Linked DNA regions of Notamacropus eugenii. The protein of the gene in region 1 purifies or fractionates together with the protein of each later gene. This does not show direct contact. Links are inferred from orthologs where the notes say so. Each region holds a gene or a part of one and is shown in the gene's direction. Other genes may lie near its edges. The genes, in order: ESR2, COPB2, SRSF5 and PRMT5.

The links.
Region 2: the proteins of ESR2 (region 1) and COPB2 purify together in Homo sapiens (affinity purification with mass spectrometry; 3 studies listed by BioGRID and IntAct, with this or other methods). This does not show direct contact. The link is inferred for Notamacropus eugenii from reciprocal best matches to the Homo sapiens genes ESR2 and COPB2.
Region 3: the proteins of ESR2 (region 1) and SRSF5 purify together in Homo sapiens (affinity purification with mass spectrometry; 3 studies listed by BioGRID and IntAct, with this or other methods). This does not show direct contact. The link is inferred for Notamacropus eugenii from reciprocal best matches to the Homo sapiens genes ESR2 and SRSF5.
Region 4: the proteins of ESR2 (region 1) and PRMT5 purify together in Homo sapiens (affinity purification with mass spectrometry; 3 studies listed by BioGRID and IntAct, with this or other methods). This does not show direct contact. The link is inferred for Notamacropus eugenii from reciprocal best matches to the Homo sapiens genes ESR2 and PRMT5.

Annotation. Positions count from the first base shown.
Region 1 is NC_092872.1:308,278,469-308,286,439, reverse strand, and holds the start of ESR2 (estrogen receptor beta), read left to right. Parts: upstream 1-4,944; 5' UTR 4,945-5,462; intron 5,463-5,595; 5' UTR 5,596-5,993; intron 5,994-7,971.
Region 2 is NC_092876.1:327,603,645-327,611,611, forward strand, and holds the start of COPB2 (coatomer subunit beta'), read left to right. Parts: upstream 1-4,911; 5' UTR 4,912-5,044; coding exon 5,045-5,047; intron 5,048-7,967. UniProt on the Homo sapiens protein: The coatomer is a cytosolic protein complex that binds to dilysine motifs and reversibly associates with Golgi non-clathrin-coated vesicles, which further mediate biosynthetic protein transport from the ER, via the Golgi up to the trans Golgi network.
Region 3 is NC_092872.1:309,637,262-309,644,295, reverse strand, and holds the start of SRSF5 (serine/arginine-rich splicing factor 5), read left to right. Parts: upstream 1-4,022; 5' UTR 4,023-4,159; intron 4,160-5,003; 5' UTR 5,004-5,022; coding exon 5,023-5,148; intron 5,149-5,486; coding exon 5,487-5,557; intron 5,558-6,318; coding exon 6,319-6,417; intron 6,418-6,535; coding exon 6,536-6,605; intron 6,606-6,862; coding exon of another isoform or gene 6,863-6,913; exon of another isoform or gene 6,914-7,034. UniProt on the Homo sapiens protein: Plays a role in constitutive splicing and can modulate the selection of alternative splice sites.
Region 4 is NC_092878.1:10,219,156-10,226,616, forward strand, and holds the start of PRMT5 (protein arginine N-methyltransferase 5), read left to right. Parts: upstream 1-4,434; 5' UTR 4,435-4,590; coding exon 4,591-4,697; intron 4,698-5,153; coding exon 5,154-5,272; intron 5,273-5,410; coding exon 5,411-5,496; intron 5,497-5,671; coding exon 5,672-5,806; intron 5,807-6,281; coding exon 6,282-6,394; intron 6,395-6,533; coding exon 6,534-6,583; intron 6,584-6,789; coding exon 6,790-6,953; intron 6,954-7,461. UniProt on the Homo sapiens protein: Arginine methyltransferase that can both catalyze the formation of omega-N monomethylarginine (MMA) and symmetrical dimethylarginine (sDMA), with a preference for the formation of MMA.

The DNA of each region.
Region 1 (7,971 bases):
TTACATAGAACTAATGACTTGACCAATGACAAATTCAGCTGGAATTTGAATCCAGTTTTCTGACTTCAAATCCAACAGTCTTTCTATTACACTTTGGTTTTCTTATTTTGTTCATAATAGCTAATATTTTTCAATGTAATGTATGTAGTTTATGTTTACAAAGAGCTTTATATAATACTAGGTGCTATATTTGCTAAATGCATTAACTCCTCAGGGTTCTATGGGGCAGAACAGAGCAGGCATTATTTCTATTTAACAGATAAGTAAATGAGACTCAGACACATTAAGTAACCCATCTAAGGTCTCAGAACTAGTGAGTGACAGACCCACAGATTGAAGATGGGTCTTCTAATGAGGCCAGTGCTCTTTCTCCCATATGACACTGCTTCATAGGAGAGCACAGATGAGGTGCCAGCACTCCCAGCCCATTCTCTATTTAAACCTGTGCTGTTATTAGTGCCATGAGGAGCCAGAAGTGAAAAGGTAGCAAGAAAGGGGTAAGTGGGTTGTTGATAGTTCCATCCTCATGTGTACACAAATTTGAGAGTTTTCCATTGCCTAGGATGTGTTCCTCCCCAAGTTACCTTTTTTTTACCTGCTAGATGCCTTATATTACTTCTCCACATACTTTCTTGGCCACTTAGGACTTGTCATTCTTCTTGTCTTTAAAATTATAAAGAATATAAATAGGTTCCCCAATTGATAAATGGTCAAAGGATATGAACAGGCAATTTTCGGAAGAAGAAATTAAAGATATCTATAATCATATGAAAAAATGCTCTAAATCACTATTGATTAGAGAGATGCAAATCAAAACAACTCTGAGGTACCACATCACACCTATAAGATTGGCAAACATGACAGAACAAGAAAATGATAAATGCTGGAGAGGATGTGGGAGAGTTGGAACACTAATTCATTGTTGGTGGAGCTGCGAGCGCATCCAACCATTCTGGAGAGCAATTTGGAACTATGCCCAAAGGGCTACAAAAATGTGCATACCCTTTGACCCAGCAATATCGCTACTAGGACTGTATCCCCAAGAGATCATAAAAATGGGAGAGGGTCCCACATGTACAAAAATATTTATAGCAGCACTCTTCGTAGTTGCCAAAAACTGGAAGTCAAGGGGATGTCCATCAATTGGGGAATGGCTGAATAAATTATGGTATATGAATGTAATGGAGTACTATTGTGCCATAAGAAATGATGAACAAGAAGACTTCAGAGAGGCCTGGAAGGACTTATATGACCTGATGCTGAGTGGAAGGAGCAGAACCAGGAGAACTTTGTGCACAGCAACAACCACAGTGTGCGAGAGTTTTTTCTGGTAGACTTGGAATTTCGTAATAAGGCAAGAACTTCTTAAAAAAAAAAAAAATCCCAATGGTGGTTCTCTAAGGCAAAATGCCTTCCACACTCAGAGAAAGAAATATGGAAGTCATTCGCAGAATGTAGAAGATCATGTTTGTGTATGTGTATGTTTTTGTGTATCGTTTTGATTTGTTATATGATTTCTTCCATTTATTTTAGTCCGACTACATAGCATGACTATAGTGAAAATGTACTCAATAGGAAAGTATATGTAGAACCTATACAGAATTGTATGCAGTCGTGGGGAGGGAGGGGGGTAGTGGGGAGTAGGTGTGGGGGGGATAAAATCTCAATTGTATGGCAATGATTGTTAAACATTAAAAAATAATAAAAAAAACGCAAAAAATAAAAAAAAATAAAATAAAAAAATACAAAAAATACAAAAAGAATATAAATAGGGTAAGTGTAGACTTTGTTTACCAAATCTTAAACTACTAGAACTAGAGGTTACCACTTGATGCTCTTAAAAATAAATTAGGTCAAACACCCAATTATGTTAAAGATACCTTTCTCTAAGTTACTCAATAGAGAAATCTAGGAGTTATTATTTCATGTCTCTCTATGTCTACTTCCACTCCCATCACCTTAATTCAGATCCTCATTATCTTTTATTTCTCCCTGCCTCAGGTTCTTGTCCCCTGTAATCTAGAATATCTATATCTATCTATCTATCTATCTATCTATCTATCTATCTATCTATCTATCTATCTATCTATCTATCTGTCTGTCTGTCTGTCTGTCTGTCTGTCTGTCTGTCTGTCTGTCTGTCTATCCATACATATATGTGTGTGTGTGTGTGTGTGTGTGTGTGTGTGTGTGTGTATATATACACACACACATATCTGAGCAAGAGTATGCTGGCAAATGTTTAACAACTGGCTCTCCAAAAACAAACAAATGAAAACAATGCACAGAATATACTTTTAAGATTAATTTGTATTACTAACATTTTCTTCATCAGTTTCCTAAGTCTAGACGAGCAACAAAACAACAAATCTAGCCCTGATTTGTAGCACTTACTGATTTCTAAGGTGTAAATGCTGAAAATTTTATACTCAATATGTTACCTACAACACACTGATCATGATACTCTCCTACCCCCCAGCAAAAAATTATATTTATAGGCTGCTTAAGTTTTGCAAAAGCTTTCTTCATAACAATGCTATAAGGTGGGTAGTATAAGAATTATTCCCATTTTAGAGATAAGGAAACTGAGACTGTGAAAGGATAAGTTTTTGTTCAGTTGTGTCCAATACTTCATGAACCTGTTTGGTGTTTTCTTGGCAAAGATAGTGGAGTGGTTTGTCATTTTCTTCTCCAGCTCATTTTACAGATAAGAAACTGAGACAAAGAGGGTTAAGTGACTTAACACTCCAGGGTCACACAGCTAAGTGTCTGGAGTCAGATATGAGCTCATAAAAATGAGTCTGTCTGATTCAAAGCCCAGAGCTCTATCTACTGAGTCATCTAGTAACCTCAAAGGGTAAGTGTCAGGAATTAAAACCAGGTCTTCTGACTCCAGGTCGATATTCTTTCTAATATGTCATATAACCTTTCAAAATAAAGTAACAAAAAAAAATCAATAGCTAACTATTGTTACCTAACAAGCCTAAGTCTCCTAACCTCATCACTGAAGGTCCTCTATCCTCTGGTCTAACCTATCTTTCCAGGTTTATATTACTCCCACATGTATACCTTTTGTTTCAGCCAAAACAGACCCCTCATTGTCCAAAGAAGTTCTGTGTTTTGCTGCCCCAGTGAACGTTTCTCATGGCATCCCTTTTTCAAATGCTATCACATTCTTCAAGTTCCATCTCAAAAGGCCACACCTTCTATGAAGTCCTCCCTGTCACCTCTATAACCTCTAACTTTCCAGTCCCTCCTTTACCTTCTCATAATACTTTGTGCCTTGTTCATATATTCACTGAATTCTATTCACTGAATTCTATTCTATTCTATTCTAATTTATCTTCATTACTAGCCTGTAAGCACTTTGAGAACAGTAACCCTACCCTGAACATAGTTGGAACTCAGAAATGAATCAAAGGCAAGGAAGGATTTCTCTGTGCTAACTAGGAAATTAAAACTAATTGAAAAATGTACATCAAGAGATGGATGATTTTTTCTAAAATTATATGTTTAAGATAAGAACTTAGAGATTCATAAATAATAGTTCTATATTACACTATTAAGGGAAATTAGGTTGCTTTAGGTTAGATACTTAATGTCTTAGGATCAGATGCTACAAGGAACCTATGATTCCTTTCATTTTGCAATGGAGAAGTTGAGACCTGAAAAGGGATCTCTTTTAGATATCACAAAGTAGGGGAGCCTGTATGTAGGAAGCAGATGATAGCAGTTTCAAACTGCATCAATTAGTAGAATTTTTTCTGGGCAAGTCAGGTTGATTTTATTCTGAGCAGCAAATAGACAGTGAAGTCAGGTATCCTGATTCCAGGCCCAGGACTGACTCCTTTCTTTCACATTGCTGTGGCTGGTATCACAGAGGACAACTTCTAAACAGCTGTTTGTCTCTTTGGAAGAGGCAGTATTGGATTATAAATAGATGGACCACAGGTCTGATGCCTTCTGACATTTATGCTTGGGAACATTTGTCCTTCCTTCACAAAAGTGCTTGGGATCGCACCCTTATCGCATCACCACTTATACCATGCATAGAAGTGTGCACAGATTTAGAGCTACAAAGGACCATCAAAATCATTTAGTTCAACCCTGTCATTTTTTATAGATAAGAAAATTGAGGCTCAAGGAGGTTAATTGACTTGTCCATGGTAACATAGAAGAACTGAGTTTAAATTCAGATTCTCTCTACAAATCCAAGGCTCTTTCCATAGTTCCTTGTCATTTGCTTTTGAATGAACACATACAACCATATTCTTTCAAACTATAGTGAAAAGAACACTTTTGTTGTTGTTCAGTCGTGCCTGACTCTTCATGGCCCCGCCTGTGTTTTTCTTGGCAAAGATATTAGAGTGGTTTGCCATTTCCTTCTCCAGCTCATTTTACAGATGAGGAAACTGAGGTAGATAGGGTTCAAGGACTTGCCCAGGGTCCCACAGCAAGTAAAGATCTGAAGTCAGATTTGAACTCAGGAAGATGAATCTGTCTGACTCCAGGCTCACCACTCCTAGCTGCCAGCTAGCTACTCCTGAAAGAACTTACCTCTGGAAGAGAAGTACCTGAATCTGATTCTTAGATCTGTTATCTGTATCAGCTTGGGCAAGTCACCTAACCTATCTGGGACTCAGTTTCTTTGTCTGTAAACACAAAGTTGTTGAACTGAGTAACCTCAAGGTCTCTTCTAGCAATATATGATTAATGGAGTGAAGTATTTTAGCCCTATCCCCTAAACAGACTTGGTTAGTTGGATCTGAGACACTCATTGCCACCTTTCTTCTCCACCCACACTCAATGAACAAATTCTGTTTTATGAGGGGTGGGAGAAGGAGGGATCTAAAATGCCACAAGGGGGCAGCAGCTTCCACACTGGAGGGTCCTGAGGCTGAGAAGAGAATTCCTTCATAAGCAATTGGGGCTGGGGCAGCTTCTGGCGTCTCAACTCCCAATAGAATCAGCTGTACTACTGCCTTATCCAGCTGCAGTCTGGAATGGCTGGTCTGATCTTTGAGACTCCTGTAACTGATTAGTGGAGCAAGCACCATGCTCCCCTGCTCCTTTCTTAACCTGTGCTTCAGGTGCCTGAGAGCTGGACTCAGCTTCAACCCCTTCAAGTGTATGTTGTATCTTCAGAAGCACGGACCATCCCGCCTGTTTTTTATTGCAGGGAACTATGGTTTCTTGGGAAATGCTTATAACACCAGGAGCCAGAAACCTGCATTGATTCCTGGCACAGATGTGGTTCACAAATCTCAGTTGCTCCCCAGCTACCTCCAATAGTCTTGGAAGGATCCGAATAAGACTACTGGTCTTAGGGTCCCCCTAAGACTATTGGAAGTGGCTAGGGGAGCAGCTGAGCTGTCCTAGGGTCCCCCAAAGGATGATGCCGGCTCTTTAGAGTCCTGCCCAAGCTGGAGGAAAAAAGAAGCAAAGTGTTTCTGGAGAGAAAGGTGGGCTTACTCATTTGGGGGCGTCAGCTTCAATTCCCCATTGCGATTATTTGCAAAGGGAAAGAGGAAAGGGTGAGGGGAGAGGGGACATGAACAACAGCTGGTGAATTATTTGTGATTTCGTTTTTCTTAGGCTTTTTTGACTTTTTTTTAACCACTTGATGCTCGAGAAAACGAAAGCTGCCTTTCCTGAAAACGCGTTGCTTTGAAACTTGTGTCAGGAAGGAGGAGGAAGAAACTCTACCTTCCTCCCTTGGAAAACAGACAGCAAGAGGGTCCGCTGTAGGTGTAATAGACTCGTACTGATGACTTGGTATCTTCTTGCCCAGTAAAAACGGTCACTGACTAGCTTGTGCTTGTGGGGATTGGATGCGTCCTACAGTCTTAGTAGCTGCGAGGGATCCCTCCTGAAGCTAAAAGCCAGCTTTGGGGAGACTGGGATTCCTAGAGCATTGAGAATTCTTGCAAGATAACCATGTGCATGCTTAGTCTGGCCAGATTGTTCTGAAGAAACGGATTGTTTCCCTGCAGGTAGGTACAACAGTTGATTCAGAATCTAATTGCTTGGATTAATTTTTTGAAATTCAGGAGTGCAGAGGCACTAGCATCTAGAGAGCAGCAAACAAACAAAAAAATTTAGGAAACTAATAACTGCTGCGTTTATGGCAGAGGAAAGTTAATCTCTTCTACTGGTATGTGCCATCTGTGAAATAGAAACACTTTTGTGTTGATTTGTACACAAGAATTTTTAAAATTTCCTTCTGGTTTTTCCTTCTAAAGTATCTTCTTCAGGGATTCTCCACTTGATTTAAATTTGAAAAAAAAAAAAGAATGCAACACAATATTTTTCTCTGGGGATGGGGAGATTTGTGGTGGGGTGACTGGTCAGATGGTAGTTGTTCTAGCTGAATTAAATCAATTAGTGATATTTCCTGTTCAAGGGTAGATGGACTTTAGTCTGAGAGGTTTGGGCAAGATGTGGCTGTTTTATTGGTTGAGAAGGAAGACAAGCTTTAAAGAAATAGGGATTTATCAGTGGTCTATTTCTTACTGGCAAACTGAAATTGATAGAATGAGAATGTCATTCAGGTGAAAATATTTTATTTTTTGGGAAATGAAAGTGAGGTTTGTAATGGTTTCTTTTTTGACAGGAGGAAATCATAGTTCAGGACAGTCAAATGGTGTACTTTTTTAAAATGAAACTTTATTTACCTTGCTACTGAATAATATCACCCCTTGAGTTTATGTCCGTCTATAACTATCTATTCATGTAGATACATAGATATGTGTATCTCAGGGTCTTATTTAGCAACCTGAAAAGATTTCTTTTGGAGAAATTAATTATCTTGCTAACTATCTTTAAATGTCTGTTTTTGCCCTGTACACATGAGATGAGAATAGGAGTAGTGAAGGGAATGCTTGATTTGATCGTAAAGGTTAACTACATATTCATTGAACTCATATACTTTGATTAGGGATAGTCTTTTTTCTTATCAGCACTTACCACACTTAAGCACTTAAAAATATTCTATCTTATAAGTGTACTTTGGTTATAAAGAAACTAATCTTTGTGGTCATTATCTTGCCTTTTTTCGGAGAAAAGTTTGTGTTGTTTTAGAATCTAGTTGCTGGAAGGAAGGGGGAAGTTATATATTTAGTGCATCAACAAGTGTTACGAATACAACAAGCCTTTGGATTTGGCTCTGAGGGGTACTTTTAGTTAGGAGAAATGTCTGCCCTTCAGAGCTTTATTTCACTTATCCTGGGCTCATATTTTGTGCTGCTTCTGTCCATAAGAGAAAACGCTTCATTTTTGTTGAATGTGACATTTTAGGCTTTAGTATTATGAATTTTGAGAAAATGTTTTAGCCATTAATGTTTAAAGTTATGGACTTTGGGAAAATGTTTAAGCTATTAATAACATTATAGGGAAATGACACCTAGCATTAGTTGAAAATTCCCATTAGGACATTAATTTTTAATTACTCATTAAATTAAGTTGCTTTTGTTTAAATCATTAGCTTCCCTGAGTTAAAATATTATGCCTTTTGTTGTTCCCTGAGTTCTATAATCCCACTGCAATCCTGGCATTTTAACCTTAATTTCATACCATTTGATATAAAGAAGGCTGCCTGAAGCTGTATTTAGTTGCATGGTAGAGAGCAGACAGTGGTTGAAAAATGGCAACTTTTAGTGGAGAACCACAAGGTTAAAATAAATGATGTATATGTTTTGAAATGACTTAAGTATAAAATACATATATATAATTTTATTCCTATTAATCACACTTTTTATTCCTTTTAGCCTAATTTCATTCACTGTGTTAATGCTTGGACTTCCGAGTGGTACTTTCAGAACTAGAGGCCATTGTAAGAAACACAGATTTGGGGGATTTTATGTACAGTTTAAAACAATGCATTATGTTTTTATTTTAACTGATTTGTTTGTTTCTAGTATTTCTGCAAATCCAAGTTATTTTCATGTACAGTGAATGATAGGAGAAGTTTTT
Region 2 (7,967 bases), on another chromosome or scaffold:
TTTATGCTGAGGTCTTCCTGAAAAATCTTGTAGGTTAAGTATATTGCCTTTTGATACCTATCACAGTATCTATAAGTACCTAATTTTGTTATGACCTAAAACTTGAAAAACTGACTCAGCCTAGAGAAAAATATCTATTTTTATTTTAATGATATAGAAATAGTATGAAACTGTTTCGACATCATCAGATCCAAACCTTCTTAGATTAGTGCAGCTGAACACACCACTGAGGATCTCAACCTTTTCCAGAGGGTGAATTCTTATTTACTGAAAATTATAAGATTATGGATTAAGGCAGTGACCACCAAATTGTTACTATGGGAGAATGGACTATTATCTGCTTCCTTTTCCTTCCAACTCGGAAACAATAAATCACAGAAAATAAGGCTTGGAAGTGGTGAAAATGTCAAGGTCTTGCCTCTGAAACGTCTCTGGCCCATTGAGAGCTCTACTTTATTCTAATGTTCAGCTTGTCCACATTCCCTCGCTTCCCCAAAGTGTTTCCTAATCTTTCCTTATCACAAGAATAAATCTTTAGGATAAGAAAAATGATTATTAATAACCAAGGATTTGGAGATATACAGAGTTCTCCCTTTTTCTATAGTCCTCATTTCAAAGCTCAGTCTCTTGAAGGATGTTACTGATAATGAGACTGAATTAACTTCCTCAGCATTGGTCAGGTCCCACCTAACCTCACAAGGAATTTAATGTAAGGTGGAGAAGCCCACTGTGCTCCGCTCAGGTTTGGGGGGGAAGGGATAAATTCTTTCATTAGATTGCTCAAGGCTGGGGGTAATTGAGAAGTAAATGACATAATCAAAGTTCATTTGCATAGGTCCAGTCCCTCATCATTAATATTCTTTCTCTTATTACTTGTTAACCAGTCAGAGTTGATTGCCACCCTCGGGAACACCCACTTTTCCAAAGTCACATAAACCTTGAGGGAGCACACCACAGTGACAGTCTGGCATTCTAGAGTGCCACTGACCTCTTTTATTAAAATGTTAGCATTATTATTAAAATGACTAGTTAGCCAGAAATTATGTCTCTTGAACTTTTTAAATGTCATAGGGAGTAGGTGGGAAACTACTAGAACCAAACATAAAGGCATTTTCCCCAAATACGTGTATCTTGACTGTGTCCATGCTATTCTCTTTCAGGTAGGGCCATCAACTCCACCTCTTTTCTATGAGAACTTTGGGCTCTGCCCCTAGCACCATCAAGACTGAGTTTTTGCCTTGTCTTATCTGGATCCAGGCTTCCATCTCATTTCTTATCTCTATACCATATCAGAATGTGTACTATACCTTTCTATCCCCTCTTTATGTACTGTATTCTCTATTAGAATACAAGCTCCTTGAGGACAACTCTTTTTTTGTTTTTATTAATATAGGGACACTTAGCACAGTGCCTGGCACATATTTAACCATCAATAAATGCTCTATCTATGGAAGTGTGTGCATTCTATCTTGTTAAAATGTTCATTTCAACCACAGTGAAAGAACAAGCTTTCCTTTTTTATTGTGTTCAATATCTAGTACATTGTAAAGCTCTTATTAGTTAAAAGTAGCTATAAACTAGGAGAGTATTTAAAGTATGAGTTATATTTATGATGGCCAGAGTAAGCATCCTCTACAAAGTCAGGCAGAAGCACTGTGGGACAATAAACCTACCAATGGTGTTTAGATCATTGCTGAGGGACATTGCCAAAAAAAGATTATGAACTAAGAGTTCAATACCGTCGTCAGTCAAGTAATACCTTATATTTACCTAGTAATTCAGTTACCAAATGAATGCAAGTTTATCTCATTTGATCCCTACAACCCTGTGTGCACAATTCTATCTACATTTTAGAGGTGAGAAAACCGAGGTTCAAAGAAATTGGTTAAGTGAAGTGCCGACAGATGCACAGCTAGTCACAGCAGCCATGCTCCTGACCTGGGGCACTTCTGATTACACCATACTACATGTTTAAAAACCATCAAGTTATCTATTTTCTCCCCAAAGATCATTATCGTTGCTCTTCCTTTGTTCCCAAAGACTGGGAGAGTCTTCTCAAAGCTATTCAGAGATGAAGATTCTATGCTCTGCCTCTGTCAGTCACTTGTCCTTTCCTATGAAACCCCAAATTTCCAACATTTATCTGTTTCCATCAGTGGAATGGATTAGATACGTAACACACAGTAGTAAATGACCATAGTAATCTAGTGTCCCAAACTTTTGGGACAAGAAAGCACTATTTGACAAAAATTGCCGGGAAAACTGGAAAACAGAATGGAAGACTCTAGGTATAGACCAATATCTCACATAGTATACCGCGGAAAGGTCAAAACGGGTACCTGATTTAGACATAAAGTGTGATACCAAAAACAAATTAGGAGAGCAAGGAATAGTTTACTTCTCTGATCTATGGAGAAGTGAAGAATTTATGACCAAACAAGAGACAGAGAGGATTACTATACAATGGATAATTTTAATTATATTAAATTAAAAAGTTTTGGCACAAACAAGACCAAATGCCATCAAGATCAGAAGGAAAGCTGGGAAGAATTTTTTTTTTTTACAGCAAGTGTCTCTGATAAAGGCCTCATTTCTCAAATATATAGAGAACTGAGTAAAATTGATATACCAAGTCACTCTCCAATTGATAAATGGTCAAAGTATAAACAGAAGAAATCAAAGCTATCTATACTTATATGAAAAAAGCTCTAAATTGCTATTATTTAGAGAAATATAAAATTAAAACAATTTAATACAAACTAAAACATCTCACACCGATCACATTGGCTAATATAACAGGAAGGAAAATGATAAATGCTGTGCAGGATGTGGGAAAACAGGGATACTAATGCACTGTTAGTGGAGTTGGAACTGATCTACCAATTCTGGAAAACAATTTTGAACTAGTTTCAAAAGGTTATGAAACTGCATATCCTTTGATCCAGGATTACCAATAAATAGTAGGTCTATAACCAGAGATTAAAAGGAGGGGGGGAGGGGCGATTACCTATTTGTACAAAAATATAGTAGCAAAGAATTAGAAATTGAGGAGATATCCATCAATCAAGGAATGGCTGAAAAAGTTGTTGTATATGATTGTAATGGAATACTATTGTACTGTAAGAAATGACAAGCAGGGTAATTCTAGAAAAACCTGAAAAGACCTACATGAACTTATGCAAAGTGAGCAAAACCAGTACATTGCACATAGTAACAGCATTATTGTATGATGACCAGCTGTGAATGACTGGGCAATGCAAGGATCTGAGACAATTCCAAAGGATTCATGAAGAAAGATGCTACCCCCTTCAGAGAAAGAACTGATGGAGTCTGAATGCAGATTGAAGCAGACTATTTTTCACTTTATTTTCATGTTTTTGTCTGTTTTCTTTCACATGATTAATATGGAAATGTTTTGCATAACTGCACATATATAACATGTCAAATTGTTTACTCTCTCAAGGAAAGGGGAGAGGAAGGAGAGAATTTGGAACTCAAAATTTTGAAAAATGAATGTAATTGGGGAAAAAAGTAAAATATTTTTTAAAAATCTGTCTCTTCTTGTACAAGGAATTTGTATCCCACTTTTAAAGCCCCTGGAAAAATAGTTATCAAACCACAGCCCACATCATTCTCTTCTCCCCCCAAAAAAACCTTTGATAGAATAAATATCAGAGCTAGTGACAGTCAGAGCTACCCCCTATCTTTTACAGAGTCAGAGACTGAGACCAACAATGAGAATGCAAGGTGATTTAGTGGAGTTCCGGATTTATAATATTATAATGTATATTATGCAATAATAACATATAATATATAGTAATTATCACAATAGCTCAGTTACAAAACTTTAATCAAAACTTCGATGGAAAGCACTTCTGATACATTATCTTAGCATCTCACATTAAAGAGGCTGCTCTGGCCTCACTATCTCTGGGTTAGGCTGTTTACTCCTCCCCTCCTTCCCTGCCCCTCTCCCTTCGTCTTAGGTACCCTGTGAAACTTGGGGTTATTTTTCATTCTACTTCATCAGCCCAAAGCTCCAGTGACTGCTTTCTCCTATTTTAGAGGGCCAGTAAGTAGCCCCCCAATTCCATATAATCACTTCACATACCCGTCTGGGTTGCCAAGAGTTTTACAAAGGCACATTTACTTCATAGATATAGTAAGAAAAAAAAAAGTACATTTTCCCCAACACTTGTGGGTAAAGTTTCTCCCTCCCCTCACCTTAGTTCGGTTCCTACACACAGATGAGCTAAGGCTGAGAAGTCAGAAGTCACCAAGGATCTGAAGCAGGATCCGCACCCCCCTTTTCTCTTCACGAGCGCCACCCGCCCCCTCCCGATGCAGAGGTCGTGTGGCCCAGGGCAAAGGCTTCTGCCCTTTCTGGCCATTGATTTTTCTCATCGGTAAAAAGGCAGGGTGGGGAGGAGGAGCCCGGGCGATCTCTAAGATCCCCTCCATCTCAACATCCTCTGCGGGGAAGCGGCAGTCGGGCCCTGAGCCTGGGCCTCATGGGCTTCTTCACAGCCCCGGTCGCTCCACTGGGCCGGGCTGCCTTCTTTCTTAGGGACAGGAACAGGAAGGGCGCCTGGCGGGGCACCAGGAAGGTTTTCTTCCCGGTCTTCCCTCGCTCCTCTGCTCAGGAGGGGCGGGCTCCCCTCAGCCTGGGGCTCCGCGGGGATGTCTCTCCTCCCGGACCCCACGTTCCCTGCACTGCCGCGGAACCTCTGGATCCTGGCCCAATAAGCATGCAATCCGGCTCAGGGAGACCCCCGGGCTCCGGGTGGGTTGCCAAGGCAACGGACGGAAGTGAGGTGTGCTGGGTGAGGAGGAATGTGAACCCCGAGCCCCGGCGCCGCGAAAACTCTCGCGAGGTTAGTCCCGGCGTTCCCGTGCTGAGACGCCAGATCTCGCGAGAGCCGGCCTCCCGGAAGCTCCACGTCAGTCAGTTGGTCAGTGTTCTGCCAGCGCCAGCGTCAACCCCGAGCTAGCGGGCCCCGGGACCCGGCATCGAGCGAGGGAGTTCGGCGTCGCTGACGGAGCCATGGTGAGACTTTGGCCTTGCAGGCTTCAAAATAAACGAAAGCGCGAGGCGGATCGGCGCTGGCCCTGCAGGGGTTGCCGTGGCCAGGGCAGCTCCGGAGATCTCCTCAGGGCCTCCTACGACGGGAGAGGGGGAGGGGAAGAGGGGCCCCGGGAGCCCTGGGCTTCTGCCGCCCGGTCCCCACCCGGCTGTGTGCAGGAGTTACGGGCCCAGGTGTTGTGGGACCACCGATTTCCGAAGGAGGGATGGGGCGGGGGACGGACCGCGAGCGGGAGGCGGGGCGGGCTGCAAGTGGGAGAAACGGGGTGTCGGCTTCTTTCCCTCGTGGGTGAACTCTTTGACCTCTCCGAGACGCAGTGTCCTTATACGTGAAGTGGAACGATAACACCTGTAGCCCCTGCCTCGCGGTGTTGTTCCTAGGACCAAATGAAGCCACTTGGGCACAGTGGTTTGCAGACCCTTAAAGCCCGGTATCACTGTCAGTCTGCTGCTGCTCTTCCTAGAGATGACACCCAGAGAAACCAGGACTGTGCTGACTTAGAGACTGGATCGTAATGGCTGGTTTTCGGGGCGGGTCATTTCTCAGGAGATGAAAGTGACAGTCATTGTTAGCATCAAAGTTGTACATTAAAAGCGTTCATTTAGATGCTTTTCACGTTATTTTCCAACTCTACGGTCATGATACAAAGCTGGAGGTACTTGATCTTATTATACAGCACTTAAAAGGTATAAAGTGAAGTAAAGAATGTCAAACGTTTTTATGTATATAAAGGACAAATTAAGTCTAATAAAATTGTCTCCAAACCCTTTTAACTAGAATTTTATAAATCTAGAAAAGTTGAAGTGTACATTACTAAAGTGTTTTACAACTATATTTTTTAAAAAGTTTGCTATATAAAAATGCCTATTATCCATTCCTTATATTTCTAAAAACAAAAGTTGTCTTTTTAATGTCACTTGAGTATTCTCATTCTCATAAATATCTTTACAAGTATTTGGTAGTGTGTTATTATATTCAGGGTTTCCTCAAAAGTGCACATTTCTTGCCTCTTAGGAAATGTAAAGAAGTCTTTCTGCCAGGTTGAATTATTTTTTTCTTTCCTTTTCCCATCACAAAGATTGATGGACTCAGAATAATTTCGTTATGAAAGAATTTTAGGAAAAAATTAATCTTTCAAGAGGAGGGGATGGAGGTCAGAAAAGGTTAAATGATTTGTCCAAAGTTACACAGTGAATAGCAACAACAGAGGTAGAATCATAGAGTTTGAAGGGATGTAACAAGTCATCTAGTCCTGTCCCTGAATCTCCTCCTACTGTGGCAAGTCAGCATTCAACCTATGTCTAAGCATCTTTAGGTACACAGCATTTAGTACTCCAGGAGACAGTCTACTCCAGTTTTAGAGAAATCTGATTTTTAGGAACTTCTTTGTAAGGTTGGGCTCATTCTATATAATTTTACCCACTGGTCTTTGTTTTGCTCTCTAAAATCACTCACACGATGGTTTTTTAAATATTTGAAGCTAATTTGTGCTAAATCTCCTCTCTTGAACAGTTTTTTCAATAATCCCATTTATGGCATGGTTATGAGTCCTTCTACCTCCCTTTTAGCTTGTCAATTTCCCTCTTAAAATGTAGCATCTAAATATAATAATACAAATGTGGTCTAACCAGTGCAGAGAGACTGTTCCTTTTTGGTTATGGAGATGTTTAAATACCACTTTTTTATGAAGCTTCCCTCAGGATGTCATGTGACATGTTATTTTGTATAGACATCTATGTAATGCATTAATTGTGTTTTATTTACCTATTAGACTATAAGCTTTATGAGGGCATGGGCTTTGTCTTAACTGATCTTTGTATCTTCCTTTGTTATCTAGAAAAAAATAGATGCTTACTGAAAGCCAAGTGTTACTAATGCCCAAGTGGACAAAGTTCCAGGGTAATTGTATAGTCAGTAGCATCAGATGCCGCAGAAATCAAGGAGGTTGAAAACTAAGGAGAGGCCATTGGCAGTTCACAGGTGTTTGGTGACATTCAGAAGAGTAATTTGGGTTAAATGACAAGGGAGGGAGTATAGAGTTCGTGAGTGATGAGGAAGTAGAGGCAGAGATAACAGTTCTTTTCAGGAATTTGGCAGTGAAAAGACTTTAAAAAAAAAGCAAGCCAGGATGTAGCTCAATGGAGCAGCAGCATAAAGAGATCATTTTTTAAAATAGGGGAGAATTAACATGTTTGTAGGTAGAGGGAAAGGAGCCACTTGGGGGAATTGCAGAGGGAGGCTGGAGTGGATGGAATCAAGAAAGCACAGAGAAGTACTAGAAGGTAGAAAAAGTATGTGAAGAAAACAGGGAAAGCCCAAGATAGTGAGGAACGTATGGCAGTGGATGTTTTGAAGTGAAAGGAAGGGAATGTTAGGTTGCTTGAAGTTCTCTAGAGAGGAGTAACTCATTGTCTCCTAAACGATCCTATTCTACTTGGGGATAGCTCTTTTGGTAGGTTTTTTTTTTCTGTATGTCAAGCAGATATCTACCTCTCCGTAACTTCTTATCAGAACTTTTTATTCTGTCATTTTGGGCCAAAAAGAACAAGGCTAATCCATCTTCCATTTGGCCCCCTCTCCCAAGTAATCTTATCCGCCACTAATTCTTGTTTGGGCTAAATATCAGTTATTTCAACCACTTCTCAAATAGCATGACCGAAGCTTTTCATCATACTGTTTGCTCTCCTCCAAGTTACATCCCAGGGTAGCTATAGTGGTGATTGTGATTATTGAATATTAATTCAGAATTTTTAGGATAGTAGAGGACTGAAAAAGAGCAAATAATGTCATTCTAACTTTTCAAAAAAGGGAATAGTCTATATTTTGTAACCTGAATTTGATTTCTGGTAAAGTTCTATAATGTATTATCAGAGGTATGGTTAA
Region 3 (7,034 bases), about 1.4 Mb from region 1:
AAAGGCCCTACCAGGAGTTTTGTTTTATAATTGGGCATGTTCAGCCAAGCCTAGGTTATAGAAATACCAAATGCTACAGTAGCTCAGAGGAGGGAGAGAACACTTGGGGAGGCAGAATAGAGCAGAAAACCCCTGGAATTAGGGGCCCTAGGCTCCAATTCTGACTTATTACATGCAGCTGCTGGGAGACCTTCAGCAAACAGGCCTTAACTGAAAAATGAGGGGGCTGGACTAGATGACTTTACAATCCATTTCAGCTCTAAATCCCATGTTACTCTGATTAGGCTTGGGAGTTCTGTTGGTTACCAACAGTGTACTAAGCTTGTACAAGTGAGATACCAGTATAGGATTTTTCTTTGGATAAAATTATCTTATTACAAAACAATAAGATACACAGAACAGCTCAATAGCAGCTGTATACAACCTGTATTAAAATGTCAATTGTAAAATACCATTCAGAAAAGATGCATGTTGTAGTACATTTTGAAAGTCAACTTTACTAGAACTTGGCCAGGCCACACAAGCCAAGTCCCACAGAGGAAGATTTTCCACCCAAATCTCCCCTCCCTTACAATGGCCAAAGGACCCCGTGAAAGGGAGTGGAGAGTGCTATCACAATCAACAATCAGGCACAGGCTAGTCCTCCAGTTAGTTGATTTATTAGCTTTTCTTGTTAGGAATTTAAGATCTTGCATGGAGTTTAGCCACTTGGAATACAATGTTCTCTGCTTATCCCAATTCCCCCAGTACTGGCCAAGTTGTGTTTCTCTCTTGTCCACCTTGTCCTCTTTATGGAACACTGAGTTGGCTCTGAAGTTTCCTCCCATTAAACTTCTGACATTCTCTGTTCTTGACTGGAATTCCTAGCCAAAAAAATGGTAAGGTAAATGAAGTCACCCTAAACTCAAATCCTAACAGTTGAAAACAATCATGTTAAGTAGATTTTGCATGTTGGTAAACTTATCTATGTAAAATTTTATTGGAAGAATTGATGCCTTTGTCACTGCTGGGAATAAAATAAAATTTTATGTCACACATTTAGCAATAGGTCAGGTCTTCACATTGCTAAACTAGACTCAAAAAATCTCTTTCCCCACTAGGCCAAGGTGGATCTTAGTATTTCCTACAGTCCTCAGTATAACCTATTGATAAGAATCATAGCAAAAAAACAAGCATGCAGATTCTATTGTTCAACAAACAAGGAATTATACAAAGATAAATAAGGAATCTTCCATCTAAACTCTAAAGACCCATTGATCTATGCCTGGCTCATAGTAAGCGTTTTAATATTGGTTGGTATATTATTAATTATTTTGTTGACACACCGCAAAGAAGTGCTGAAAATATTGTTAGTAACTGCTTCCACTTTTACTTCCTGTGACTGAATCAGCTGCTTCATTCAGTGCCGTGATTAGAGTGTTAAAGAGCTTTGTCATTTAATTAAAATTGCTACTTTAAGTCACCTTGAATTTCTAGATGTGTACTTTGAATAAGAAACTGCTGGAGCAGACTCCTTGCAGGAGAATATGTGTGTGTGTGTGTGTGTGTGTGTGTGTGTGTGTGTGTGTGTGTGTGTGTGTGTGTGTGTGTGTGTGTGTGTGTGTGTGTGTGTGTGTATGCATGTGTGTGAGAGGGGTTGAAGGGAGGAACTGGGATAAATTGGGAAATAAAAAGACCCTATCTTTCTCCCTAAAAAACTCCTTTCCTGTAACCCCCATACATCCATAAGTCCTATCCCTTTCACTCTTCTCAGAATTTGCACCTAAGACCCTCTCCTTTATCCCTCCTCCTCCATAAACCCTCCCAAAAGCATAGACACCAATTAGAAGCTTCAGACACAATTGTGAATTTCAGTACTTCCCTCTTCAATATAGCAAATGAATACTCAGAACTCACACTGGCAGTTCAAACCTCTTTGTAAATATAGAGATTTTTCTAAATTTTAGGAGAAGATATTGAGTAGCCCTTTTCCATATTAAATCAATGTAAGTGCCCTACTTTGCAGCACTTTATTTTTTCTGCCCTGGTTTAGGAGTGTGAGAGTAAAGGAATGGGAGGTTTGAGGGTAAATTGTCAGAGATGCAAGCAATTACAGGCCAGAGAGCTGCGGATATTGGTAAAAACAGCAAATCAATTCAGACTGAAAAATGGGGAGAGCAATTCCTAGTAAGGGCTCCACTTAAGATGAAGAGGCATTGCTATACTTCTACTGAGCAGAGGAGAGACTTTTCATTTAGAATTCTCCAAATTTCCAAAATTGCTTCAGTGCTCTAGGCCAGTTTTTCATCAAACGAAGCTGCTAGGAACTCTGAAATACTATGATTTTGTTAAACTAAGCTTATGCTGTTTGTTAAAAGGCATTAAAATAACACTTTTAGAGAATTTTACTTACAAGGGTCACACGGCCTGAGGGCATGCGCAGTGCAAAGTGCATATACTGCAAGTTCAGAACCAAGGCTGCAGTGACGTTGCACAAGGCAACACAGGCAAGCAAGAGCCGCCAGAAAAGCTTCGGATTCATGATGCATTCGATTTATAATTAATTTTTGGTTGCTGGTTGTTCAGAAACCTTTTGCCGTTGCCAAATTTTTCTTGACCCCATAGGGTCACAATCCAGAGTTTAAGAATTGCTGCCTAGGGAGTGGGAGATGTACTTAAACTAAACTCGGAAGGGCTACAGTGGCCTTTGGCAGGGAGAAATAGTTACAAAGTAAAATTCTGTTTAATGTAGCTAAGTGTGAAGGGAAACCTTCCAACAGGAGAGACAATAAATTAGATGCAATTCTTTAGGGAGAACTTTGCAGAGTAAGGTGGCATCTGGAACAGAAGGGGAAAAAAAAAACTATTGTCTTTTAGAGTTCCCTGTTTGAAAGAAAGGAAGAGAAAAACTTGGGAGAGCATCCGTGATGGGGAAAAAGAAAGCAGAGGGCCAAGAGGCCAAAAGCTGAAAGAAATGGTGATGTCTGGCATGGAGAGGAGAAGCCTGGAGACAAGTTCACTTGGTTCTCCAATATCTGAAGGTCTTGCCAGGTGAAAGCGGGATCACATCTGCTTGTTTGGCTTGGCTGCAAGCAAAAGCCTGACCTGAATTTGCTGGGGAGGGCTCCAGCAGTGAGAGTTTGTGACTTCATTCTGTCTCCTAAACGCAAACATCTAGCTTCTCTGTAGCTTAAAACTGAAAAGAGCCGGCAGAGGAGACAGAGCAATGATACTTCATTCTAGTTCAAATGATTGCTTGGCAACACCAAGGATATGAGGCTAGATAAGGTTTGCAGTCCTGCACATCCTCTGCACGCCCACAAAGCCCGCATGGCGGGGGCGGGGTCTTAACGCATGCAAGCCTGACACGTGGTGGGTCCCCCTCTGCAGGCCTGGACACCAGTGCGGGCTGCTGGCTTGTTTGAGAATAAGACTCAATAATAATACCCGTTAATAAAACGGGTGGAGATTAAACAAGGGGGCAAGCAAGCAGACAAAAAGCCGGGTGAAGGGCCAGGTAAACTGCAGAGGCAGTCACCCCAAAAGGCAACGGCTGTGGAATGCCTTGGGATGATCCCCAACCTGGCCCTCCCCACCTGGAAGCTGTTGGGGCTCTCTTTTCCATTTTCGGGTTCTACATATCGGCCCTATGGGACCGGAGCTTCTAGGGGGCAGGGCCTGCTTCACTTCCGTCTACCCTCCGGGTCTAACGCTGAACCCAGCGCTGGGAAGACACTTCCTGAATACCGAATAATAAACCCGAACCAAAGGGCCGGGTCAAGCGGCCTTCATTTCTGCCCTTTACCACTAAAAGCTACAAACGCCCTCCCATCCACTTCCGCCTTTCTCCCTCCCCTCAAAGTCCGCCTTTGGCCCCGCCCCCCAGCGGCGCTAGGCCTCTGGGACGGAAGAGGAGGAGCCTCCAGCCCCTTCAGCCAGTCTCTTAAGCCTTAGAGCGAGCAACAAGGTCACGTGCTGCTCTGGGCTAGGGCCGGAAGTGACGCACGCCCAGTACCTTCCATTTTGTGGAACGTCCTAGTGGATAAGTGCGTCAGTTGCAGAGAGACGTAGCCTGAGGAAGTTCGTGCTCTTCGAGTCAACGCTGTTGGTGGACTTTCGACCGCTCCGCCGTCTCTGCCTCCGGCGGGTTTAACGCTTTAGTTCCTGCCCATTTAGATTGGTAAGCGACTGGCCTTTTAAAGGAAATAATTCCTTTCGGAATTATTTTTGCTCTTCCGGTATCTGCCTCCCCGTAGTGGGGGTTAAGACAGGACACGGGGAATACCCCGTGTTACCAGCAAGCCATAGTCCTTTCTCGTTGTAGGGGCCTGAAAAGGACTAAAGATTGCTACCCGGAAGCGTCTGTCGTGTCTTCTAGAGGGCTGTAAGGGTGTTGGGGCGGTGTCCGTTATATCTTTCCGGGCTTTTTCCCATTTTATCTGAATTCAGGAGGCCTAAGTGTTAGGTTTAGAAGTCAGACCTTTAACGTGCATTCATCCACCAAACCGGCCGCTTAAACGGTCGGCGGGTCGGTAGGGAACGTTCGTGGGGGAGGGGGAAGTGGAGAGAGATTTGCGCGCGCCACTCCAGTCCCGTCCCCGCCCAGACGCCATTTTGTGGTTCCAGAGGCTTTATTTGCTTACTGCGCACGCGCTGGCGTCGCGTCGCGTGATTGGAGCTTCCATTTGGCTGTGACGCTCTGGCGAGGAAGGAGCTCACGCGGCTGCTCTAGATTGGCCCCGAGAATGCGGAGGATGTAGCCTACGCCCCTCCTTCGCTTCTCGGTCCTTCCAACTGCGGCGGAGGGGAGGGGAAGTGCGCCTGCGCAGTCTCCGACCTCCGGGGGCGTTGCGGCGGCTGCGGTAGGGGGTAAGGTGAAGTGACCCGCGAGTGCGGAGTCAAGATTACTGGGAAACCGCCCTAGTTTGTAGATCTGCTGAAATTCTGATCCGTACGTGAGCACCCTGTTTGGGTTCGAACGCTCCTGTTGGTTTTATAACTAACGTAGCCTTTCTTTTTCGTAGGAATCCGAAGTGGGACACCATGAGTGGCTGTAGAGTATTCATTGGAAGGCTAAATCCGGCAGCCCGAGAGAAAGACGTAGAAAGGTTCTTTAAAGGATATGGACGAATAAGAGACATTGATCTGAAGAGAGGCTTTGGGTTTGTGGTAGGTATCCAGTAAAAACTGTTGCTAGTAAAGAAAAAAACGCTATGAATTTTATTTTAAAATTCAAACTGTCCTAACGCTGTGAGGTTAAATAAATTTAATACAATCAAGGAAAATACTGCACTAATACAGCTTTAACAAATTCCACATCTTAAGAGGAAATGTAAATTTTTAAACGTTAATGGGCTGTTATCTAGTATTGGAGTACATAGATTGTTAGATAGTTATTCATATTGACTTAGTTTACTAACATGTAGTGATTTAAGTTTGCCTAGTGCTGCACATCTGTTGTTATTCATTTTCCTGTAATTAAATAGCTAAAATGATTCATTTCTTAGGAATTTGAGGATCCAAGAGATGCTGATGATGCTGTTTATGAACTTGATGGAAAGGAACTCTGCAGTGAGCGGTAAATCTTTTTTTGTTTAAAAATTACTGCTGGATTTGGGTTCAAGACCCAACTGTTACTGCCTATGAGACCATAGGCTTCTGAGTTAATTTTGCATCATATATAAAAATAAGGTTGGGCCAGATGACCTAGAAAATTATTTTCACCTTTAAACCTATGAGCCTGTGAAATCATGTTACTTCTATTTTTTGAGTTTTTTTGTTAAATAAATGTAAGCCAAGTTTATTTAACTAGTGTTTTTAGACACTGCAGTATGACAAGCAGTGTAAGTTAGTATAAGTCATCTCAAAAGCCAGAGGTTTTTTTAGTCACATGTTTAAAAGATGCAACTTGTAACAGGATTATAATATTTCATTTTTGAGTTAAAGAAGTCTCACAAATGAGCAACACTCCTCAGAAACTGCCAGGTGAATTTTCTATGCATCTCTACATAGGTCCTATAAAAGTTTTTAATTGTAATGTTATTTTACAAATGTGTTCATAGGAATATCTACATGCTGTGCATAAATATATACTGATGGTGTGTTGCAAAATTAAGAGTGTTGAACTCTTGGGAGTCAGAAGAGAAAACCTGGATTTGATTCCTGAATAGATATTTAACTAATTTTGTGGCCATGACTTGAGTCATATAATTCAATTTCTAACAGGGGCTTAACATCTGTATTGTCAATACGTACTGGATTAAAACCTAAATGAGAACGTATATGAGTGCTTGGGAACTTGTAAGCATTATTAATGAAGACTTTTCTACTTTATTCTAGGGTTACTATTGAACACGCCAGGGCTCGTTCAAGAGGTGGACGAGGAAGAGGGAGGTATTCTGATCGATTTAGTAGCCGCCGTCCCCGAAATGATAGGAGGTATGGGTTTTTCTGAATTAAGGTATTCTACTTTAAAAACAGAATTGAATAAGTAAAATGTCCTGTCTCTTAAAACTCACAAGTAGTGTTTTTCCATTTCAATTGTTTTTTTCCCCAGAAATGCCCCACCTGTGCGAACAGAAAATCGTCTTATAGTTGAGAATTTATCTTCACGAGTCAGCTGGCAGGTTTGTTGAAATAAGGTTTAAAACTTCTTCAATATTTTAAAAAATAATGGGTAGTTAATATTAAACCTTTTACTAAAGTAGTTTTATCTTTAAATATGAACTTAACTGGACATCTATAATATCATTTTAAACTATTTAACATAATTGGGGGATATTTGAAGCCTAGAGTAATGATAGTGATCAAATGTAAATGTTTTTGAGGATTTTTCTTGTTTTAAAATCAATTTTAACCAAATATTAAACCCTTTATTTGCCAGCCTATCTGTGTCGTTGGCCTTATGACGAGGAGTGCCTGTGGGTTATCCTAATCGTTCTGTCTTGGTCACTCTTGGTTGGGCCTGGTTGACTTTGCCAGTCAGCTCCTACAGTGATCAGTTGGCCACCTCTAGATCTGTGTTTGCCGGTCTAGACGTAATCGGTGCACTTCCT
Region 4 (7,461 bases), on another chromosome or scaffold:
GTGAAACTGCATCGGTGCAGGGAATTTCCACACTGGGAGTTGCCTACCTACCATTAATGATCTAAGACATTTGACCCAGATCCTCTAGTACTGAGAGGACTGGCAGATGTGTGATTGATGAACCATTCTTGGTGTGCTTGGAAAGATCACAGAGAATAGGAAAAACAAGATAAAAAACTGCAAAATTGGAGAAGCACAAATGCTCTGATTTTCAAAGAGGGCAAGAAAATAGTCTGCAGATTATAGGCTAGTGAGCCTGACTTTAATCCCTAGCAATTTTCTATAATGTATTGGTCAAAGGACAATTAATAAAAAAAAAAATCAAAAAAGGAACTGTGGTTGGTCTCATGTTAACATTCTTATCAATGATGTGTTTTGGGAGCAGAAACATGTGTTCATCAAATTTGCAGATGACACAAAGCTAGGAGAGATAGATAACCCATTAGGGGGTCTTAACAGGTATGAACATTGGGTCAAATCATATGAGATGAGATTTAATAGGAACACATCTATGTCCAGGGTTAAAAAAATTCAACTTCACAAATGCAAGATGGTGGAGGCAAGGCTGAACATCTGAAAGAGGTTTGGAAGTTTTAGTGGACTTCAAGTGCAATATGGATCAATAATGTGATATAGTGGCTAGGAAAACTAATATGATTTTAGGGTACATTAAGAAAGGTATGAATTTCAGGAATACGAAAGTATCAATCCCTTTTTACTTGGCCATCAAACATCTGTTGTATTTGTGTTCAGTTAGAGATGCCACATTTTTGAAAGAATATTGATATTCAGGAGATTGTCCAGAGTGGACAATCAGGATGGTGAAGACCTTGAGTTCATACTACATGGGGACTGAAGGAACTGGAAATGTTTGACTTGGAGAAGAAAAGATTTTGTGGGAACATGATTGATATATTCAAGTAATTAAAAGGATGTCATATGGAGGAGAGAATTGACACCAAATGAAGAATTATTGTGGATGAGATCCTGAGTGAAAAATTGTACAAAGATAAATTTTTATAACAGTTGAGGTTATCTAAAAGTGAAAAGGTCTGCCTCAGGAAGCTATGGATGCCACTTGTTGGAGTTCTTCAAGAAAAAGCCAGATGTCAACTTGTTGGATAAGTGATCAAGTGAATTCTTTTTCTGGTAAGCTCACTGTGGTTTTTTTGAACTCTGAAATTCTGTAAGTCTGTTCAGTGAAGGCGATGAAGCATCCATATTTTCCACCCATTTTTGTAGGGCTGAGATAAACTCTTTTTTTCCTCAAAGGCATTCCTCACTCCACTGTATTCTTCTTTCTCCCTATCTCAGCCCATCTTCACAATTCAAAGTCCTACATTCCTTACAATTCTATAGGTAAAAAAAGAAATGTTTCTCCCCTCATCCTTTTAAAACAGAATATAGAAGGATACGCAACTGAAAATTGATTAAAAAACCTAAAGTCTCCCCAAAAAACAAAGATGGAAGCAATCAGTGCTCTTTACTGTGTCTTTCTGATTCTTACGTAACCGTAGGCTTAGCTGATAGTAAGGGGCATGTTCTAGGTTAATTCTATATAGCCTCTTATGCAATCAATCAATTAACAAGTCCAAGAATACGCCCAGTTCTGAATACGGTATTTATTGCCATGGGGAATACAATAAAATAGTCTGATGAGGTTCTTGTCATTCTTAGAATTTTAAGAGTCCGGGAGACTTTGAGAAGACCTCTGGCCTAATTTTGTTACTTTGGCTAAACTGTGCTCTTCCATCTCCCATTTATCCTTACCCAAAATACCGTAGGATACGTGCCTTTCCTGCTTTTGCCTGGGCCAATACCTAGGTAAGGAATGCCTTCTCTCCTCCTTTGTTGAATTTTTTCCTATTCTTTCAAGCCCAACTAAATAGTCATCCTTTCCCTGACGTTCCCTCGGCTCTCCATGTGTCAGGGATAACCTGCTCAGTGCTCATTCTCTCACATCACTGGGCAAACTTTATTTATCAAGTGTTCTTGTGTATTTCAATTTCCTGAGTATGGATCTTACTATTATGGATCCTGTTAGACTGTGGGTGCCACTGGGCCTTGGGTCTTTTCTAAACTTTCTATCTCCTACAGCACCTAGCACAATGATGTATACATAGCACTTAATGGTCATTTGAAGTCCTCAGAAGTGAAGGGACTTGAAAAAGGTCACATAGTGACGAGGTTGAGGGGTGATTGTGGACCCCAAGATACCGACAGTCCGGGTCGTGCTCGAATGAATTCTACTCAAGCCTTCTTAAAGCCAAAGAAAACAAAGTTTATTAAAGATTCACCAAATTGGGTTGCCTCTTAAGGCGCCTAAGCATTTGTAAAGCTTGTATTCACAAGCAGGCCAGACAGAATCCCAGCTAGACAGAGTCTGAGCTGGATTGAATCTGAGCGCCTTCATGGAGGCAAGATGGAACTTAAATACAGAAAAGAGTGTAGGAGGGATCTGGGGGTGGTCTGGTAGTCCAGGGTGATGGGAGGAGGTGTTTAGGGAGGGTCTTGAGGAGAAGTCCAAGGAGGGAATCCAAGGAGGGTCAAAGGCTGGAATCAGCTGGAGGCTATCAGGAGATATCAGATTAGTGTGGGTTTGGGTGGGAAGCAGGTGGGGCAATCCAGAGACCTTGATAGGGGCAGTATGGGAATGGATACAGATCTAGGGGCAGTATGGGAATGGATACAGATCTTGATGGGAGTGGTCAGCAGCCAGGGGAATGGGGTTTTGATGGGATCAAGGGGGGGGGGGGGTGGTGCAACGGAGACTAGAGTAGAAAGATAATGAAAAGCCCATGGGCTTCCGGAGACTGCCAGAACAAATGCGAAGATTAGACTTGAGTAAGGAAGGCCAGATTAAGTGGGAAGATTCAAGGGGAGCTCAAGGAGGCTCCCAGAGTCTGAGCCCCATCATTAGTAGTGAGTGACATACTCAAACCAAGATCTCCTGACTCCCTGAACTGGAACCTAATACAGTGAGATGGCAGGGCAGGGAGGATGGGAAGTTACTTACTGGTGTGATTTCTAGGGCATCAGGAAGACTCTCCCATGTAAAACTTTTCCTCCCACTCAAATACCAACATGCCAGAAATTCCTCCATTAGTAGACATCCATTTGCCTTCTGTAAGTCTTCCAAGAGGCAGAGATAACACCGGTCATCCATCGGTCTGTAATTCATCAGATGCTCTCCTGGAAGTGACACCAGGGCAGCGTACAGTCTACAGGGAACGCACGAGATATCGTTAATATTACACTGACTGGCATGAGGAGAATGGATAAGATAAGACAAACTTTCACCAGCTTTACACCTGATCCTTTAAACAAGATGTCTAGAGAACGCACCGACGCAATCAGTCAGCAGTTACGAAGCCCTTCCTGGGTTCCAGGCTGTCGTACGAAGTCCTAGGGATCCAGGGAAAGGCAAACAACAGCCCCTGCTCTGAGTGAGGCAGACCACCACCAACACGCACACGCGTGTGGATGTGGACATGTAGAGGAGCGGGGGTGCATGCACACCCACCATACCTGCAGGACACACTGGGGATCGCCTCAGAGGGGAGGCAGCCAGAGAAGATGCGCTTGGGGGAGGGAGGGTCGTGGGCCAGCAGCGGGGCGCGAGGGGGCGCGGGGGCCTCCTGCCCGGTCCTGCGCGTCGCGGGGAGCCCCTGGAGCTGCCCGAGCGGGGCTAGGCCGGTGTCCAAGGTGCAGACCCCAGGACTGGCCGCGGGGGAGGGCAGCCTGGACGACCCGCAGGACGCTGGGGGGACACCGGGGGGGCACCGGCCCGACGTGCCCACGGGCCGCGGGGCACGCCCACGTAGGTCCTGGACCCACTCTCTTCTGGGGAGTTCGGACGGAGGAATTCCGTGACTGCGCGTGAGGTCCAGCTTTCGGGAGCAGCAGACACGGCCTCCACGTCCCTTCCCTGCCTCCTCTCCCGCTGGAAGCTTCCAGGGAGCGCGGGCCTGGCGGGGTCTACCGTGAAGTAGAGTCCGAGGCCGCGTTCTTCGCTCGGAAGGCCCTTATGGTGCTGGAAGAGCAGACGGAGGAAGCGTCCATGATCCATAAGGGACCGCAGGAAAACAGCGGAGACCGAGAGGACAGAAGATGCCTCCCGAGGGAGCAATAAAGAGGAGCCGTTCCCAACGAGCCAGCCAGGAGTCGAACCTGGAATCTTCTGATCCGTAGTCAGACGCGTTATCCATTGCGCCACTGGCCCTCGGACGAAAAAGCTCTGGCCGCGGCCCGTGTTCAAGAGCATGCCGCGGGGCTTCATGGGGGATGTAGTTTTTCGCTTGGACCTGTTTCAAGGGTTCTCCCTAAGACGAGACGGGAAGTAGACTCGGCGGACAAACGGGGCCCTCGGATTGGTAGGTTTCCAGGTCTCTTGTCTTTCGTCACGGCGCCGCCCCCTGATTGGTAGGGAGGCCCACACCTCGCCCCGCCTACCCCGCGGCGCTGAGTGCAAGGAGACGCTCGGGTTGTTAAGGAGACTCCTCCCGCCTACCGGGGAAACCCGGCTTCTTCTGCGCTTCGCCATTGGTTGTTGCGAGCCAGGGGTCCTGGAGAGACAACGTGAGGGGGAAAATGGCGGCGGTGGCAGTTGGGGCCCCCGGCTGCCGCGTGTCCAGCGGGCGGGACCTCAACTGCGTCCCCGAAGTGGCCGATACGTTGGGGGCCGTGGCCAAACAAGGGTGAGGGCCCCGTTTTCCTTTCCCTCCTCTCTGGGGTGGGACGCGCGCTTTCTGGGAGATGGAGTGGGAGAAACTATTCCCAGCCCCGGGGGGAGGGGGAGGGGACCGTGGTGGGAGAGACCATTTCTGCGGCGGATGGGGGTGGGTGGAGAGGCTCGGGCGCACGTGTCCCCTGCCGAGGCTGGGAGCGGGCTGGCACGGTGTGCGGGCAATCCGGCGATAGTTGGGGCATGGGGCACCCGTGCCAGGGGCGAGATCCCACGGGGGCCGGCCCTGCCGCCGGAGGGGGGGTCCTGCCTTTTCCCTCTCCTCCTTCCCACGAAGTCCCTTTTGGGGGGCATCGAGGCCCCCCCGTGCCCCCCTGGCGCGTGGGCAGTGCGCGCTGGTCCGGCCCACGTGGGCCGGGCCGCTGTGGGTTTACTAATGTACGGGCCGGGTCCTCTGTCTTTGTCTCAGCTTTGATTTCCTCTGCATGCCCGTCTTCCACCCCCGATTCAAGAGGGAATTCGCCCAGGAGCCTGCCAAGAGCCGCCCCGGGCCCCACACTCGGTCCGACCTGCTGCTGTCCGGACGGGGTAGGAGCCCCGCCCCCCACATTGTCTGAGCCCTGCCCGCCCCTCGTACGCCCCGGGTTTGTGGTGCCCCATGCCAGGGGCAGAAGCGGGCTCACGTCCTCACCCCTCTCCTGTTTTTGTCTTTCCTGGCCCATGCAGACTGGAATACCCTGATTGTGGGGAAGCTGTCACCATGGATCCGCCCCGATTCCAGAGTGGAGAAGATAAGAAGGAATTCGGAGGCGGTGAGGCTCCTTGGCTGATGCCTTGTGGCTGTCATGGACCCTTGGGGGCCACCTGGGGCAGACCACATTTCAGCGGCTGTTGGGACACCTTGCTGTCAGCTCTGTCTCGCACCGCAAGGATGGAAGCCATTTGGGACATCATTGACTAATCTGTCTGTGTTGGTCTCTGTTCCAGGCCATGCTGCAGGAGTTGAATTTTGGGGCATACCTGGGGCTTCCAGCTTTCCTGCTACCTCTCACTCAAGAAGATAACACTAACCTGGCCAGAGTTCTGACCAATCACATTCACACAGGCCATCATTCTTCCATGGTATGACCTAAGTGATTTCCTCCCCAGACCCAGAAGATGAATGGGCAGTGTTGTGCTGTGGTTGGGTTGTATTTAATACTGTTTTATCCCAAACCAGGCTACCTAATACATTGGGCATAAAATGGATTGGAAAGAACCCTGCTGTTCTTCTATATTTGCCTAGGATTGCTGATCAGTCAGTTATTGGATATATCAAACAAATACTGTTACTAAAAAAATGAATCCTTTTAATAAAGAGAATTTATTTCTGTCTCAGAAAACATAGAGTTGAATTGGAAGACAAGATAGACAAATAGATATTAGCCTAAACATACAAATGGGCATTGTCTCCATGAAGTAGCACTACCTACTTAAGTCTGCAGGAAACAAGAAAAACATGTTGGTTCTAAAGGGTGTAGCACTGGTTTGGGATCATTTTCATTTTAATCAAAGAAAACTTTGTGGAGGCAAGGGTAATAAGTTTCTTTCCATGTAGTTCTGGATACGGGTACCCCTGGTGGCGGCAGAAGACCTTCGGGATGATGTCATTGGGAATGAGCCTCTTCAACGGACAGAGGCATACACTGGGGAGGAGAAGACATGGATGTGGTATGTGATTCTCTCTGTTATTGCAGAAGATTAGAACCAGGGCTGGGAGAAGAATGGGCTAGAGGCTGTGGGACAGTGACTGACAGCTGGAAGGAGTATAATGATTGGCAGGCCCTGTGCTCTGTTTTCTTCTGGTCAGGTGGCATAACTTTCGTACCCTGTGTGACTACAGCAAGAGGATTGCAGTGGGTGAGTGTGGCAGGCTGCCATAGCTAGAGCTTCTTTCCCCCCTCCGCCATGTGAGTTGAAGTCATGGTGTGAAGCTTCAGATTAGCTTGAGACTTTGGGTAACTTCTTTTTACTTTATAGCAGGCTGCTACATAGCTAGATTGTAATAGACTCCCAGATAAGAAAGCCTGTTTGGGCTTCAGTAGATCTTTCTTTCCATACTATAGCTATTGAAGTTGGTGCTGATCTCCCATCCAGTCATATTATTGACCGATGGCTTGGGGAGCCAATCAAAGCAGCCATCCTTCCCACCAGCATCTTCTTGACCAATAAGAAGGGATTTCCTGTCCTTTCTAAGGTGCACCAGAGATTAATCTTCCGGCTCCTCAAGGTAAAAAGGGTATACATTGGGGTGAAGAGTTGTAACGTTCATCCTTTAGTTCCCTAGTGATTCTCTACCTTGTTTATATGAGTGTTTGAAATTTCCCCTTAGATCAATTCTCTTTTCATATTTAATTCCAGAAGGGGTCCAGAGATAAAGGGAAAATGTGGCACAGGAAACTTTTAACTTTTCATGGAACCCATCTTCAAAGGAAATATTTCCATAGGATTAAATAATAAAGCACCAACTTAGGAATTATATTGTTCTCCTTTGTTTCCTCAGTCCCCAGTTTTCACTTTTGGGATTCTGAGATCCAGAAGTATATTTGAAGTATATTTTGCTATTTGCAAAAAGTTATGAGGTATTCTGAGCTGCCTTGAGATGCCAAGTGGGCATTAAACATATTAAAGCCATGTACTAATTATTTGGGGATTGATTTAGGATATATAAAATGAATGACTTAGGCCCCTCTTCATTGATGCCCTTTTCCTCTGGCAGTGATTAAACAAAATGCTTG